3 separate regions of the Mus musculus genome follow, and regions 1 and 3 are each reported to be linked to region 2. Evidence: microRNA targets listed by miRTarBase, many of them from high-throughput screens and not tested one by one. Region 2 holds a microRNA gene; each other region holds the end of a gene's coding sequence.

Evidence for each region. Region 2 holds the annotated microRNA mmu-miR-3473a (UGGAGAGAUGGCUCAGCA, at 3,736-3,753, opposite strand). A microRNA usually pairs through its seed, bases 2 to 8, with sites in the 3' UTR of a target mRNA and lowers its output. Matches are read on the target gene's strand: a 7mer-m8 pairs with bases 2 to 8, a 7mer-A1 pairs with bases 2 to 7 and ends in A, and an 8mer does both.
Region 1: the mRNA of Hoxc8 is a reported target of mmu-miR-3473a. Seed matches in the 3' UTR shown: 8mer at 751-758.
Region 3: miRTarBase lists Thada as a target of mmu-miR-3473a. Seed matches in the 3' UTR shown: 7mer-m8 at 3,735-3,741 and 7mer-m8 at 3,046-3,052.

What each region holds. Positions count from the first base shown.
Region 1 is chr15:102,992,480-102,997,550 of GRCm38, forward strand. Hoxc8 (homeobox C8) reads left to right here. Exons shown (of 2, transcript NM_010466.2): 2 at 84-1,775. The coding sequence ends at 376. It overlaps Gm29905 (a long non-coding RNA gene), which reads right to left. Exons shown (of 2, transcript XR_384486.2): 2 at 4,853-5,071. Among named protein-coding and RNA genes, the nearest start is that of Gm29905, 3.2 kb to the right of the region's middle.
Region 2 is chrX:162,871,185-162,876,257 of GRCm38, forward strand. It overlaps Mir3473a (microRNA 3473a), which reads right to left and starts at 3,811; the gene lies at 3,734-3,811. Syap1 (synapse associated protein 1) reads right to left here. Exons shown (of 9, transcript NM_025932.2): 5 at 1,331-1,470.
Region 3 is chr17:84,187,886-84,192,956 of GRCm38, forward strand. It overlaps Thada (thyroid adenoma associated), which reads right to left. Exons shown (of 38, transcript NM_183021.3): 38 at 2,171-4,446. The coding sequence ends at 4,066. It overlaps Zfp36l2 (zinc finger protein 36, C3H type-like 2), which reads right to left and starts at 62. Exons shown (of 2, transcript NM_001001806.2): 1 at 1-62. Gm36279 (a long non-coding RNA gene) reads left to right here and starts at 4,303. Exons shown (of 4, transcript XR_385852.4): 1 at 4,303-4,387.

The DNA.
Region 1 (5,071 bases), not on the chromosome of region 2:
GCAGAGAGGGAAGTTTGTGGGGCTGTGTTGGGGGGCGGAGCCCCCACCCAGACATAACCAGACTGGGGTTCTGTTCTGTTCAGCTCCTGGGCGGCGCAGCGGTCGACAAACTTACAGCCGGTATCAGACCTTGGAACTAGAGAAGGAGTTTCTCTTTAATCCTTATTTGACCAGAAAGCGCCGGATTGAAGTCTCTCACGCCCTGGGACTGACAGAAAGACAAGTGAAGATTTGGTTCCAGAATCGAAGGATGAAGTGGAAAAAGGAGAACAACAAGGATAAACTGCCTGGGGCCCGAGATGAGGAGAAGGTGGAAGAAGAAGGGAATGAGGAAGAGGAGAAAGAGGAGGAGGAAAAGGAAGAAAATAAGGACTAAGGAAAAAAAGAGAGAGAAAATCAGCCCCCCCCCCAGCAACTCCCTTGAAGTTTCGTTTTATGGTAGCAGATAAATTGAGAAGTTTACGACTGTCATTTGCTTTTATAGAGAATAGAATGACACTCACAACTCTAACTACCTGTCAGATAGTTGCAGCTCTGCTTTTATTACCTTTGGGCTTCCCCCACTCTTTATTTGTCTGGGGGTTGGGAGGGGGAACCTGAGACACAGGGAAAAGTTCTGTTCTACTCCATGCCCAGCATACACTCTCTTGTTCCTGCTCCCACCTTCTGAGCCCTTCCCCATAAAGTCTAACCCTTCACACACACACACACACACACACACACACACACACACACACACACACACACACTTCTCTCCACACTCCCTCTTCACGGTGCTTCTCTGGTATTTATTTTAAAAGGGATTCCCCTGAAGATATAGAAGATGATTCCTGGCTTTGCTTGTATGCTGGGAATTAGAATACTGGATAAACAGTTTTTTTTTAATGAAAAGAAAGAAGGAAAAAAACAGGAAAGGGGGAAATGAAAGGAAAAATTAAAAAGAAATAAAAGATAGCAAAGAAGATTCCCCTCCCCCTCTGAGGCTCTTTCCTTAGAAAAACCCCCTTGACTTTCTCCAGGAATCTGCTGGAAATCAAGGAGATGTGGGTTTCTCTACCCACCTCCTTCCTGAGGGGTCTATTAGAACTGGCAATGGTCTCTGAAATCCTACCTATCCATCCCATAGTCACTTGGGTCCATGCCTTCCTTGCCTTGCCTTTGCTGTTTGATCTTTTGGGCCCCCGGCTTCCTCTGAGCTGTGTTAGTGTTTGTGCTCAGAAGTCACCATAATCATGAAAATAATATACTGATAATAAATCTTTAACATACTACCTAAAGGGAACCTGCAATAATCTTGGGGGAAAAAAAAAAAAGAAAGAAAAATTCCTAATACAGGAGGGAGAAAAAAAAAAAGAAAAAAAAAGAAAAAAAAGAAAAAAGGAAGAAACCTCCAGCGTATTTTATCACTACCTATAGAAAGAAATCCTGCTTTGAGAGTATTTGTAATGCGGTTTTGTTGTTGTTTGTTGCTGCTTCTTTCACTAAGAAAAAAAAAAATCCCAACAACTGAGACTGCCTAGCCCGCCGGTCTTGTGCGCTTTTATTGTGCTTCTAACCCCAGTAGAGTAGAACTAAACTGCACTGAATGTATAGTTACTCTGTCTTGAATTCTCTGTTTATGCAATGTGCTCGAAAGGAAAAAAAAACGTTAAAATATATCTATAATAATAATTTTGGTCATTTGTCTTTATGTCCAGCTATGAATGTAGATTTTGTGTCCTGAAAGCTCTGTTCCTGGTCCAAGTACTTTGTATTGTATACGTGAGTCATAATAAAAAAAAAAGAATTAAAAAGTAGAGCTGGAATGACTTGCTGTTTCTCTATAACTCTTCCCCATTTTCTACTCCTCCCTCTCTTTATTCCCTTTCCCAGCTCTGCAAAAGGCCCCGCACTGATCTTGCTTTGGGTGGTGGAACTTGGAAGTGGGGTGGAGAGGGCAGGCATAGCAGGTAGGGCAGGTGGCTAGTGGGGGGAGGAGGAGGAGGAGGAGGAGGAGGAGGAGGAGGAGGAGGAGGAGGAGGAGGAGGTGAAGAGAACATCTGGAAGGGAGAAGGAAGAAGGGTTACTTACTTACACTAGTCTTAATAACCAATGAGGTTTGTAGGTATTGGGACCTAAGTGGGAAGACAGAACTCATGCTTTAGCTTCCTGGTCTCTGGGCTGGGTCCATATAAAGAGTTGGCCCTATGCTCTTCCTGTGACTATGCCCTTTCTTTCAGGGTTTTAGGCCAAGGGTGAGATGGTGGGGGTTCTTTTCTGATATTTACATGTCTCCCGCTTGTGGCCACTCCTTAGCATCCACTACCTCATACTGAAATAGTGGATGGGGTTGGGAAATTATGCGGTTAAAGGTAGCTGCATAGTCAGGAGAGTTCGGTTTGAAAATGCCAAAGTGTAGTGGTGAGGGTGAAGAAGCTTCTGCCTGGGGCAGAGGATAAAGGAAGGACAAATGAGTAAGATAGAGTCTGCACCCTGGAATTCAAATTCAACTAGCATAAGGCTGTCATGGCTACTCAGCCCTCTTCTGTCCACATAGCCTCCGTTTTTTGGCCATTTCAAGCCAGCTCTTGGCTGGCTTCACTCTGACAATTGAGCAGCTTGCCTGGCCACCACAGTTGGGACTACTGATTTGGGAGGATGGCCCTGCTGAGTGGACAGTCCCCAAGCCCAGCCACAGTAGGGCAAAGGGAATCTTGACATTTTCTAAAATAAAGAGTAGAGCCCAGCTACTAATGGGATCATTCTGGAGGGTCCTAGGCAGACAAATCTGTTTATGCCAATAAAATTCTGCTCAAACCATTCCAAATTCCAGAGATACAAGGAGGCTGGCTCAACCAGACCAGAGGAAGAGGGGAGGGAGGGTGGACTTCTGGCCTTCAAAGACAGACCACCAAAGACAGAGATATTTTTGAAACCAGATCTTTGGGTCAATGTTTTTTAACCTAGGCCCAGGCCAAGTGTTTCACCAGGGTCCCAATCTCTGGCCCCTATAAAAAGGCCTCAAAATTTGTCAAGTGATTTTCCTAGGGCTCCCGCAACACTGCCTGTGAACCAGAAAGGACAGCTTGGGGATAACTTGAAGTAGAACCTGCCAGGAAATCTGTAGAATTTGGGGTCCCTGCTGGCAACCAAGTGATCACATTTAGCTTGGGAGACATGGGGTGTTGGCCAGGGAGGTCTGAAAACATTTCACTTCCCACCAGACTCTGTGGGAACCACAGAGGAAGACCCGTTTCATTTTTTTAATCATGAGATTATGATTGCTATTGATAAAAATAATAATATCCTGCCCTGAAGAAGAGCGGTATGACTCCCTTATCAAATAATTCCGAAGGGCCTTGCTGCTTCTCCCCCAACACCCCGCAACACCAACCCCTCATTCATTCCTGCCCCTGCTCAGCAATGTCCATGGCCCCAAGCCGTCGCGTCGGAGGGCGGGGTGCGTCTGGCGCCCGGCTTCTTTGGCAATGTCGGGCAGCCAGAGGGTTAGACCTAAGGAGCCCCTGCGTCCCCTTGTGCGTTACCCACTCCCCGCTTTCCCTGCTCACCACTTCAGTTTTCTCGTTTGGAAAGAAAAGGAGGTTAAAAACCCGTTTTATGGGGGAATGTAATTGCGAGAGCGGGATGCGCTCTTTAGAAATGCTTGCTCCTAAATGCTGCCGTCGTCCCATTACCGAAATGGGTACCATTCCGTTTCTGCAGATACGACTTTCTCCCATTCTTTACTTTTTTTATTAGCCAATCAAAGTGGCTTCCGAAAGCTATTTGTGATTTGTGAAAAATAGTATCTTTCAAAATGCTGAGTTGAAGCATCTCGCTCATTTCGCCTTGGATTTATTATTCTAATCTCAACGGTAAAGACAGAATGATGCAGCTATTAAGTTGGGGGGCAAATTCGTTTCTCGGGATTAAAAAAAAAATCTTCGCACTTTCCTCCTCTACTGTTTCACTGAATGTCCAAAGAAGATGCAGGTCTTGGAGAAATCTGGGGCTCCAAGGGAAGAAGTGTGTTGCTGAGGGGCTCCCAGGGGACCCCTTGAAGGAGAGGGTGGGTTGGCTTCCCCAGTTTCATATTCCTGGCATGAGATGCCCCAGAGAGTGTCTGAAAGTTGAAAAGTCACCCCCAGCCCCAATTAAAGAGGATTCAGGACAGGTTGTGTGCCACAATCTGGAAGTAAAATTTCCGGTGAGTTACCCGGCAGTGCTGCCCCATTCTTCCCGCTGCCATTGTGAAAAGCTGGGCCACCGCTTCCTCGTCGTAATTTTTAACTACCTGTTATAAAATTTATGGGTGGGTTTGTAAAAGGAACAGGTCTCTGCATCCGGCTGAGGGAACTGCTTTACTTACTATGGAGGAAGTTTGGGGAGGGGATGAAGGGTCTTCTGTTGGCTGGCTGAGCACCCAGCCCTTGAGAGTCCCTTGCCATCTCAATGCCGATCAAGGAAAGAGCTGCCCGATTTTAGATCTCCAGCCAATGGGGAGTGGCTGGACTACAGCTTAGCAAATATTCTCTACAAGGTAATTTATACTGGCCTCCCCACACTGCACTTATTACCAAAATTGGAGGTCTGAGGAAATGGGGTGCATAGACTTTTAGAGTAGAAGGCAGAATTCAGAGCAGTAAATGGCTCTCTTATGGGGCCTGCAAACTCTGAAGCCAGATCTCAGCTGCCTAGACGCTGTAGGAGATTCCCCTCCACCCCCTGAAAAAGACAGGTGTTTGGGTAACCTAAAAGGGTGAAAAGGTTTCAAAGAGCCTTGCTCCTCAATTAAAAAAAAAAAAAGGAAAGAAAGAAAGAAAGAAAGAAAGAAAGAAAGAAAGAAAGCTAGAAAGAAAGCTAGACCAAGATCTTCAGCTTTAACATTGTTTTTAATTAATTTTTTTTTTTTTGAGGATTGAAAGTTGCCATTAATATCTGGAAAACAAGATGGCCTGAAGCTAGGCATAGTCTTGGGTGCAGGGAGTGTCATTCTGTCTGAGAAAGGGACCACCTGAGAAATGAAAGTTATTTTAAGGAGCCTTGAAGCTGCACAAAACTCTCACCCCTTCTGCTGCCTCCAAAGGACTGC
Region 2 (5,073 bases):
ATAACCCAGAAGGCAGAGCTCCAACCAGTTTCTGAGGAAAGTTTACAGAAAGAAGATATTTGAGAGAACTATAAATTGTACCCTTGGGGAATGGTAAAATTTTGCAACCATGAAATAAGGATTAAGGACACTCTAGAAGGGGGACACTCACAAAATAAAGAATACCAGATTTCGTTGTTTTTTAATTTTACTTTTTCTAGATAGGGTTTCACTGTATAGCCCAAGCTGTCCTCAAACTCATAGTGATTCTCGTGTCTCAACTTTCTAAATACTGGGATGACAAGTGCAAGTCATCATGGCCTGTCTTTGGCTTTGTTTAGAAACAGGCTCTCCCACTTATGACCTAGGCTGGCCTCTTACAACCCTCCTGCCTCTGCCTCCCAAGTACTAAAATTATAGTCTTGAGCCAAGCTCTGTTTTGAAAGCTGGCTTCAAAAATATAAACAAAATAATAGCAATGACAATCATCATCATCTTCTTCCCCTTCCCTCTGACTAAGCTTGAGAGCTCAGGCCTGTAAACCCACTCATGTAGGAGCCTGAGCAGGACTGAAAATTCAAGGCCTGCTGAGGATACACAGTGACTTCAAGGCCCAGCTAGGCAATCTAGTAAGACTCTGTCAAAAAGTCAAAAAGAGGTCCAGGGTTATACTTCAATGCTAAAACAATTGCTTGGCATGAGCCAAGTCCTAAATTCAATTTCCAGTACTGCAAACACAACAAAAACCCTCCAGGAAAGTCAGAGGGACACAAAGCCCCAGGGACGCTGCAGCAGGGAAGACTGCCCTCTGCTGGCAGACCAGTGACAAAGCATCACAGAATATTGCTTGCTTTGGAGCTTAAAGGGCACCTGGGATTTTATGAATTGGGATGGGCCTTTCTTTGGTTTAAAACAAAACAAAACAAAACAAAACAAAACAAAACAAGCAAGCACAGCTGTCGCAGAGCATGAATACAAGCCATGGGAGTTCAGGGAAAAGGCAAGCCTTTACAAACCCGATTTGATTTGGGTCTATTTGTTGTTTCTGATGGAAACATGTTCTACTGTTTAACTGGGCAAAAGAGCACATATCAACCTGACTTTCCTGCCAAGTCTGCCCTCTCCTTCCATTCTGGGCACGCAGTCAAGCTCACAGGGCCTCTGAAGGGCTGCAGGGCCTGTTTGGATGAACAGATAGTGTAGGGAGGGTTCTGGCCTTCATTCAGTGACTCTTCCCTAACATTATGCATATAACTAGAGCCCTTAGGAAAGTGAAATCACTATACTACTGTGAAATAGAAATTACCACTGCAGGAGTGAGCAGTGTTTCTTTAGAAAACATGGTGCTTACAGTTTAGGAACAAGGGCAAATCTCATCTTGCTTAGTAGCTCATCCTCTTGGAGCATGACCAGGGCAACAGGGTACATCTGATCAAAGTCAAAGTTAAACTGCACACCAGCTGGTGGGTCACGGAGGAAATTCCTCTTGTCCTGTGATGAGAAATGGAGGCAAAAACCATTAAAGGGGGTGTCTTAATTGCATTTTATGACAAAGTATCATGGATCGATATACTGAATTTTAACAGTCTTCAGTCACAAAGTCCACTGAGCTGTCACTGACTGGCCCACTTAAATGAGATAGGAGAACAATCCATCCTTTCATGTTTTTTTCTAACACTCACCTGGACAGAGGCTCCCAGGAAGCCAGACAGTTCACTCAGTTGATTGAAACAACATAGTTAAAAATCATATAAACATGTAATAATCATATAAACACCTTTAGGTTTAGAAACATTCTAACTCAAGGCCAAAACACAGTGTGGAACATGCCTGTAGTCCCACCACTTGGGCAGTAGAGGCCAGGGGGATTAGGACTTCAAAGTCAGCATCGTCTGTACAGAGGTTTGGAAGTCAGCCTGGGTTACATGAGACTGTCTCAAAAAGACAAAACCTAAGCTGGTGAGATCACTCAGTGGGTAAAGGTGTTTGTCACCATGCCTGATGATCTGAATTTAATCCCTAGGGTCTTTGGAATGAAAGCGAGGATATGGGCTGAAGTGATCGCTCAATGGTTAAGGAGCACTGGATGCTCTTCTGGAGGACCCAGGTCCCACTAAAATCACCCCCAGGGCAATTCCCAATGTCTGTAACTGCAGTTCTAGGTGATCCGACAACTTCTTCCAGCTTCCTCAGGCATTGCATCCAGACATGCAGGCAAAACATCCCTACACGGAAAATAAAAATTAAAAACCAGGCCAGGCAGTGGTGGCGCACGCCTTTAATCCCAGCACTTGGGAGGCAGAGGCAGACGGATTTCTGAGTTTGAGGCCAGCCTGGTCTACAGAGTGAGTTCCAGGACAGCCAGGGCTACACAGAGAAACCCTGTCTCGAAAAACCAAAAATGAAAATAAATAAATAAATACCAGAAACAAAGCAACAAAAAAAAGAAAGCCATCACCAGCAACATGAACCTCTGCAAAACATTCAGAAAAGCATGGAATTGAAGATCTGGGTATAGTATTGATGTCTGTAATCTCTGTACCTGGAAGGAGGATTAGAAATTTAGGGCCAGCAGCCTCTACTATAGAATGAGCTCAAGGCCAGCCTCAACAAAGTAAAACAACACAATACAACACAGAATCCTACTAGTTACAGATAATTTATGGTTCAATGTAACACTCCCTTGGGTCCCTATGTCTAATATATGTGGTGTCCCTGCTAGTGATGAAAAATCTTGGTTGTCAACATGACAACATCTGGAATCAACTAACACCCAAGCTGGCAGGCACTTCGGTGAGCAATTTTATGAATCAGACTATTTGAAGCAGAAAGACCCACCCTAAAACTGGCAGCCCACATATAAAGACACAAGAAAAACCTTCTTTTTGCCTGTTTGTCCTTACTCTCTACGGCAAATTCATCTATTCTGTTGCTGCAGCTGGTATTAAATAAAACTGCTTTAGGATTCCCATGTAGACTGAGACTAGCAGCTATCCAGGAATCTTCTGGGACTGTAGCACCAGACAGGGATTGCAGAGACATCCAGCCTTGTGGAGTAAATAACTACTAGATTTTCAAGCTTTACACTCAGACAGTTGTTGAACTATCTGAACCAGGCTAATACATCTACTTTCAATATGCATATTTACTCTGTCAGTTTTTTTTTCCTTGGTGTTTTTGAGACAGGGTTTCTCTGTGTAGCCCTGGCTGTCCTGGAACTCACTTTGTAGACCAGGCTGGCCTCGAACTCAGAAGAAATCTGCCTGCCTCTGCCTCCCAAGTGCTGGGACTAAAGGCGTGCGCTACCACGCCCAGCTCTGTCAGTTTTTTTAAAGGTTTATTTATTTAACGTATTGGAGTACACTGGTTGTAAGCCAGCCATGTGGTTGCTGGGATTTGAACTCAGGACCTCCGGAAGAGCAGTCAGTGTTCTTAACCACTGAGCCATCTCTTCAGCCCTATTCTGTTAGTTCTATGCCTTTAGAGAATCCAGCAGGTAAGATTTGCCATACGTAGGAAGGCAGGCAGTCCATACATTGTGATAGCTACCACTTTTTAAAAAATATCTTGTTTGATACATAAGGCAATTCACTTTAAAAAAAAAGTTATTTCTTTTTTTTATCTGAGTACACTATAGCTGTCTTCAGACACACAGTAGAAGAGTACATCGGATCCCACTACAGATGGCTGTGAGCCACCATGTGGTTGCTGAGAATTGAACTCAGGACCTCTGGAAGAGCAGTCAGTGCTCTTAACTGCTGAGCCATCTCTCCAGCTTAAGACAATTCACTTTTTAAAAATATTTTCTGGGCTGGTGAGATGGCTCAACAGGTAAGAGCACCCGACTGCTCTTCTGAAGGTCCTGAGTTCAAATCCCGGCAACCACATGGTGGCTCACAACCATCTGTAACGAGATCTGACTCCCTCTTCTGGTGTGTCTGAAGACAGCTACAGTGTACTTATTACATATAATAAAAAAATAAATAAATCTTTTTAAAAAAATATTTTCTTTCTTTTTTGTAGGTTTTTATGTGTATGGGTGTTTTGCCAACATCTATGCCTGTGCACAACATGTGTGGCTAGTAACTACAGAGGTCAGAACAGGGTGTCAGAGCCTGAGACTAGAACTTATGAATTGTTGTAAGCAGCCATGTGGGTGTTGGGAATCAAATCTGAATCCTCTGAAAGAGAACCCAGTGTTCTGAACCACTGACCAACTCTCCAGTCCTAAGTTTTTGTTTTAAAAACAGTCTCCTATAGCAAAGACTAGCCTTACATCCTCTATTGGAGGATAACCCTAAACTCTTGCTCCTCCTGACTGCTGGGATGACAAGCATGAAAGCCGACTTTCTTTTCTCACTCAAGGTCATGAACAACTTTCCAGCTCTAATGGCTATATTAAATGAGCACTAACTTACCATAACTTACTAAACCAGACCTGTTTCCAGAGTCATTTTAGTAGTTTCTAACTTTTTGAAAGAATTCTGAAAGCAGGGTATAGTGGCATACATCTGTCACTTGGGAGGCTAACACTGGAGGACTGCTTAGAATTTGAGACCAGACTGGGCTACACATTGAGTTCCAGAATAAGACCTTATTTTTTTTAAAAAAGGAGAGTCTGTATTCCTTTGTAAAGTGAACTTTAAATTAAAAAAATATATATTTATTATCATTATTGTGTGTGTTGGGGGGAGGTAGAGGCACACACCCCTGTGCCACAGTTTGTATGTAGAAGTGAGAGGACAACATAGGGGATTTGGTTCTTACTCCATTTTATGAGGGTTCAAAGGATTGTACTCAGGTATGAGTCAAGAATTTTCTTTGTTTTTTTTGTTTGTTTTGTTTTTGTTGTTGTTTTTGTTTTTTCGAGACAGGGTTTCTCTCCTGGCTAAGTCAAGAATTTTCTTAACCCACTGAAACATCTTGCTGGCTTATAAAATAATATCTTTAGAAGAAATTCCTAGAACTGGAGTTTTGACTCCATGAGTACAGTTATTTCAATGACCATTGCCCAGGCTTTCCTGTGGAGGAGGCAGAAGTCAAGGAAGACTCACAAATTTTTTTTTACTTATTTATTATATGTAAGTACAATGT
Region 3 (5,071 bases), not on the chromosome of region 2:
AGCTCGGCGCCCCGGCCCGCCCCCCGCCCGAGCCGTCGGCAGCTCGCGGACTGGTGGAACTCGGAGACCTGAGAGCGTGCGCCCTTTATACAGCCCCGGAGCGGCGCGGCGGCGGGGCAAAGCGCACCGGGGGAGGGGACTGAACGCTGACCGGCCGGGGTCTCCAGGCAACGCCGCCCGCCAGCCCGCGGACGTCAGGCTCCTTCTCGGCTTCTCATTGGTCGCCGCCAATTTTTCCCCTTCGGGGGAGGGGAGGAGAGGGGAGGGGAGGGGCGGGCAGCCTGGGCGTCCCGAGCGGCGTGGGGCGTGCGGCCCCCTTGGGTCCTGCTGGGTGGCGGCGGCGGGAATACCTCGCTCTCCTCCGCCTCTACGAGTATAACGTTGGAAAGCACGTACACGTTCTATCTGCCCAGGACGGGGCTACCCGGGACGTGCCTTTCCTCGCCCGATCCGGCTGGGCCGACTGGCGCAGCTTTTATCTCCCATCCTAGTTTTTGCTCCGCGCGCGGGAACAGCAAAACAGCAATGGTGCGCTTGGCCAAGTTGCTTGGGACTAGGAACGGGGGTCGCGGCCTGTCCCGTAGGTGGCAGCTCCGGCCCGGCTGCACGTGGAGACGCAGTAGGGGTGGGGGCGGGAGCGGCCAGCCTGGAGGAGCATTGGCGCGTTTCTCCGCCCCTCTCCCCGCCCAGGCTCAGTAAACAGGACTTGAGCGCTGCGGCCTGTGGGGCAGAGCCGAGTGTCTGAGGACAAGGCGCTGGCTTTGCTAATCACATCACAAGACCTTGAGCCTGGGCCAAAGGCGCCGAGTGGCGCGGGGTGTCCGGGGCGGGAAAGCCTATTCCAGGGGACTAGAGGGAAGTCGGAGGAGCAGTGTGGACATAGAGGAAGTCACTTCCTTCACCTTTGTGCCTGCTGGTTGGCCTGGCCTCCTCTCGGGGATGTGGGTGCAGCTCCTAGCCAAGGCTTCCCGCCTGTACAGCCTTGGCCTGTCGAATCCTGCAACCTTCCTCCTTCTGCTGTGGGAGGCGCGGCATTGAATCTAAGCTTTGTGTGAGCTGCCGGAGGCGAGGCGGTGATTGCTGAACCACCACCCAGGTTGGGGGAAAGAGGTCCTCATTCGGTTGCCTTTAGTGCAACTCCTACCAGCTTTCCATGGAAAAAGCAGTCCCAGAAGGCCCCTGGCTCTTTTTGAGAGGGGTCTCACACACACACACCTCCACACACCTAGCGACCCCCACCCCCACCCCGTGAGGCCCATCTGGTCAGGTCCAGAACCCTTTATCCCTACACTTCATACTGGCTGCCAAAAGCTGGAGTTGGGCCCATGAATTCACCCAGCTGGCAGTCCGGGTTGCCCTGGGTGGAAGGCCCAGTAGTTGCCAGAGAAGGCTGCTTGACCAACTACATCCTTCCCATGTTGCTCTTCCTGTCTGGTTGACCCAGTCCAGTGTGCACTTGGGCTGTATCAGTTAACCTTGAAGCTAAGGAGGTAGATCTGTCACTCAAAGGCTCCTGAGTCCAGGTGCATTTGGCCACACTGCAGTGCATGCTGCCCCTGTAGGTAGAGCCAATGGCTGCCAGAAGACTGTAGTGTCTTGGACGTAGTGCTGAGTGGGTTGGGTACGGTGGTTCATGCCTATAGTCCTAGCACTAATCACAAACTGTGGTGAGTTTTAGGCTAGCCTTGCACAGCTTAGTGTGAGAGTGAGACCATACCCCTATAAAGGAACAAAGCCCTCACCATCTTATATATTAAAGCAAACTGGCTTTTGGCTGTGGTCTGAGCAAGGGGCCACCCAGATCTTAGGACCCTCAAGTGTAGTGACTTAGGGAAGATGGCTGCTTCACTCTTCCCACCCACGTTGCTCTTGCCCCTATTACTGCTGGGTTCTGTGGCTGAAAGGACCCCAAATGTAAGCATGAGGCTGTGACTAAGGTTTTCCTGGTTTCTCTCAGGAAAGCATGCAGCAGTCGTTCCCCTAGCTACTGCTAGCAGGATTGCAGATACAAGCCCACCTGTGGAGCCATCCATCCCTCCTGTCCTCCCAGATTGGCCACAGCCAGCCAAGATCCAAGTCTGGGGTAAGTCCCAGCTAATGGCAGACTTGGTAGGATGGACTTGGAGATAACATAAGCCTGCTCTGAAACATGCTTTGGGACAGCATGCCTGCCAATGTGAGATGGTTTTATTGTCATGTAACTGCTTTTATTTCATTTTAGATGGAAGGGGAGAGGGAAGGTTGGGTCCTGTTCAGAATTAATCTCCCAAGGTTGTCACCACCAGCCCCTCTCACCAACTAGATCTTAAAGTAGTGTAATGCTGGGTATAGTGGTGTATGCCTGGAATCCTGGCACTCAGGAGGCAAAGGCAGGAGGATTAACACAAGTTTGAGGCCAGCCTAGTGTAAATAGCAAGCCTGACTCAGAAAACTAAAAGCAAAGCCCAAAACAAACTAAACAATGTTAGGTTTTCAATTTTTCATCAGCAGTGGGTTGCACTGCCTAACTAGGTAATTACTACAGGGCCACACAGACCCCAGGGTGCTGAGTGTTTCTAAGACCACCCAGGGGATTTCTGTTCCTCTTCATGGCCAGGAAGGACACAGCTCCTGACTTCCCTCTCCCTGCGTACAGGTCTCTACTCCAGCACAGCCGTGTTTCTGTGGTGCAGGATGGTTTTCTTCTGAGACCAATTACATGTGAAATGTCAGCGTCTCTGCAGGAGGAGCTAGCATATAGAATGCCTCTCTCCCTTTTCCTCATGATTCTAAGTGACTACTCACTGAGAAGTATCTGAACATAGCTATAGGCCCTACAAGTTCCTTCTATGGCTGGCATGGTCTTTGTGGATAACTGGGAATGTGGATCACACTACAGCAACACATCCACGCCGTGAATTGAAGGCAAGCGTCTGCGGGTGTCACGTACTCTGGAAGCACACGTAGCATGGTAAGCTGGGCCACATGATGCGGCTCAGTGGATAAACGTGCGTGCTCTGCAAGCCTGAGCCTGAGTCGATCTCTGAAGCCCATGCAGAGGCGGGAGGAGAGAGCTGGCTCTATAAAGTTGTCCCTCAACTTCCTCAGACATCCATGCTGGGGCATGGGTGCCCTCCTATCATGTACAGGTGCTGATAATAGTTTTAAAAAGTTTTAAAAGAGTAGGCTAAAAGCGCTAGACCAGCAGCATAATGTGTGCAAGAGCGCCACCTGCTGGTGTTCGAGGATGCCAGCTGGGCTGGGCCTGAAGTGACAAACCCTTCCGGTTTCTATATGGAATCACCTAAAGTGGGTAAATGTGTTTCTTGGCACTCTGCTGTCTCCACCAATCACAGGACGGTGTACAGTGGTGGCACCGAATGAATTAAGCATTTGCTCAGGCTTCCCTTTCCCCAGGCTCTGTCCAATAGCTGAGGCCAGTGATGGGTGACAAGGGTTCCTAGCCTTCGCAGGCATTTCTGGGTAAGACAGTGGGGACTCTTAATATGGACCACTGAAGGACTTGGGCAGGTAGATAGTAAAATGCAAGTATTTGCATGTTGTAGGTTCTTAATATTCCCAGAATCAAACATACCCTTTACTAAAATGGAATAAAAGTTTATAAATATGACCAAATAGGTATTTGCTAAACAAAACCAAACAAAAGAGCACTGTGTGTGTGTGTGTGTGTGAGAGAGAGAGAAAGAGCACTGTGTGTGTGTGTGTGTGTGAGAGAGAGAGAGAGAGAGAGAGAGGGAGAGAGAGAGAGACATGTAAGCTAAGACTGAATTCAATGCAGTCAGTGTATGGGGAAATGGGCGCTGGCTTTGGGATAGAACTGACTAGTTCAGGCCTGCAGGTGGCTTGCACCTGGAGACAGTAAACCTGCAGACAGCAGCTTCACTTCCTAGGTAGCTGCAACTAATTGGGTTGCCTTGAATGAGTGTGCTGCAGACAAGGTCCTCAGTAGGAAGGGACAGAAGCCTAGACTCCCAGAAGTGGGGAGGCACCTGAGGAAAAGAGTTTCAATTGGTGTCCACCATGTATGTGTCTTGCAGACCTGAGCTGAGGCCCAGCCACCTTTCTTCAGCATGCTGCTTCTGTTCTTGGGGCCATTACTTGTCTCCATTCCCTAGGGCAGTCTTCGGCTCTGAGACCCTCCTTTCCTTCCAGGCAGGCCAACAGCCTCAGGACAGCCAAAGTCCTTTCCTCCTGAATGCGCAGCCTCGTGTATTCCACTGTCTTCAAAAACTCAGCTGAGAGTGGAAGTTCTCTGAAGAGCTGAGAGATGAGGTGACTCTGCTCTGATGCTATCCTTTGCAAGTGACAGAGCTTCTGGGAGTGAGGGGACTGCCAGCCAGATTGACAGAGGAGATGGAAGAGTTGCCTACACAGGGATTTCACGAAGGTCAGAGTCTCAGCCCAGAAGTTGACTTCTGATTTTTCAAAGATATGCTCTTCTTCCCCCTACATCAAGTGACAAACAGCCAGAGTAAGTCTCCGAGGAGTCCTGTGGAGCCAGGCACAGCACTAGATGTGGGAGCTGTGTCTATTCCTGACAGGGCCCACTGGGGCTGTCAGCGCCCGTGCCACAGCACTTGCCGCTCTGAAGGTCACCTTCTACTTTCACTCAATACCTCTCTCCCAGCCGGACCACGACCTTTGATAAAGATGTGAATTAGCTCCAAGCCAAGATACTTGGGGAACTGGTGGTGCGGAAGTGGGTCTTAGGTTTTAAGGTGTACTGAGAAAAATCTTAGGTTTTAAGGTGTGCCGAGAAAATTCAGAGGAGGCACAAAGGAAGTCTGGACAGCAGAGCAGAGAGTTACTGGGACATGTGTGATAGCAGCACAAAAGAGACAAAATTTCTAGAATGCTATGGGGGTTTAGGGTCATTTCATCTAAAACACTTTGTTATATCATCTTCCTGTTTCTTATACAGACTGGGTTTTGAAGGGTTGGTATACACTGACTCTTGGTCTGCTCAGGATATGGAGCTAGCTAGTGGTCATATGTGGGGACAGACTGCTGGTTTCCCAGTGGAAAACACAGGTTGCCTATGCTGGTCTTCAGTTTTCAGGAAGAGGCAGGA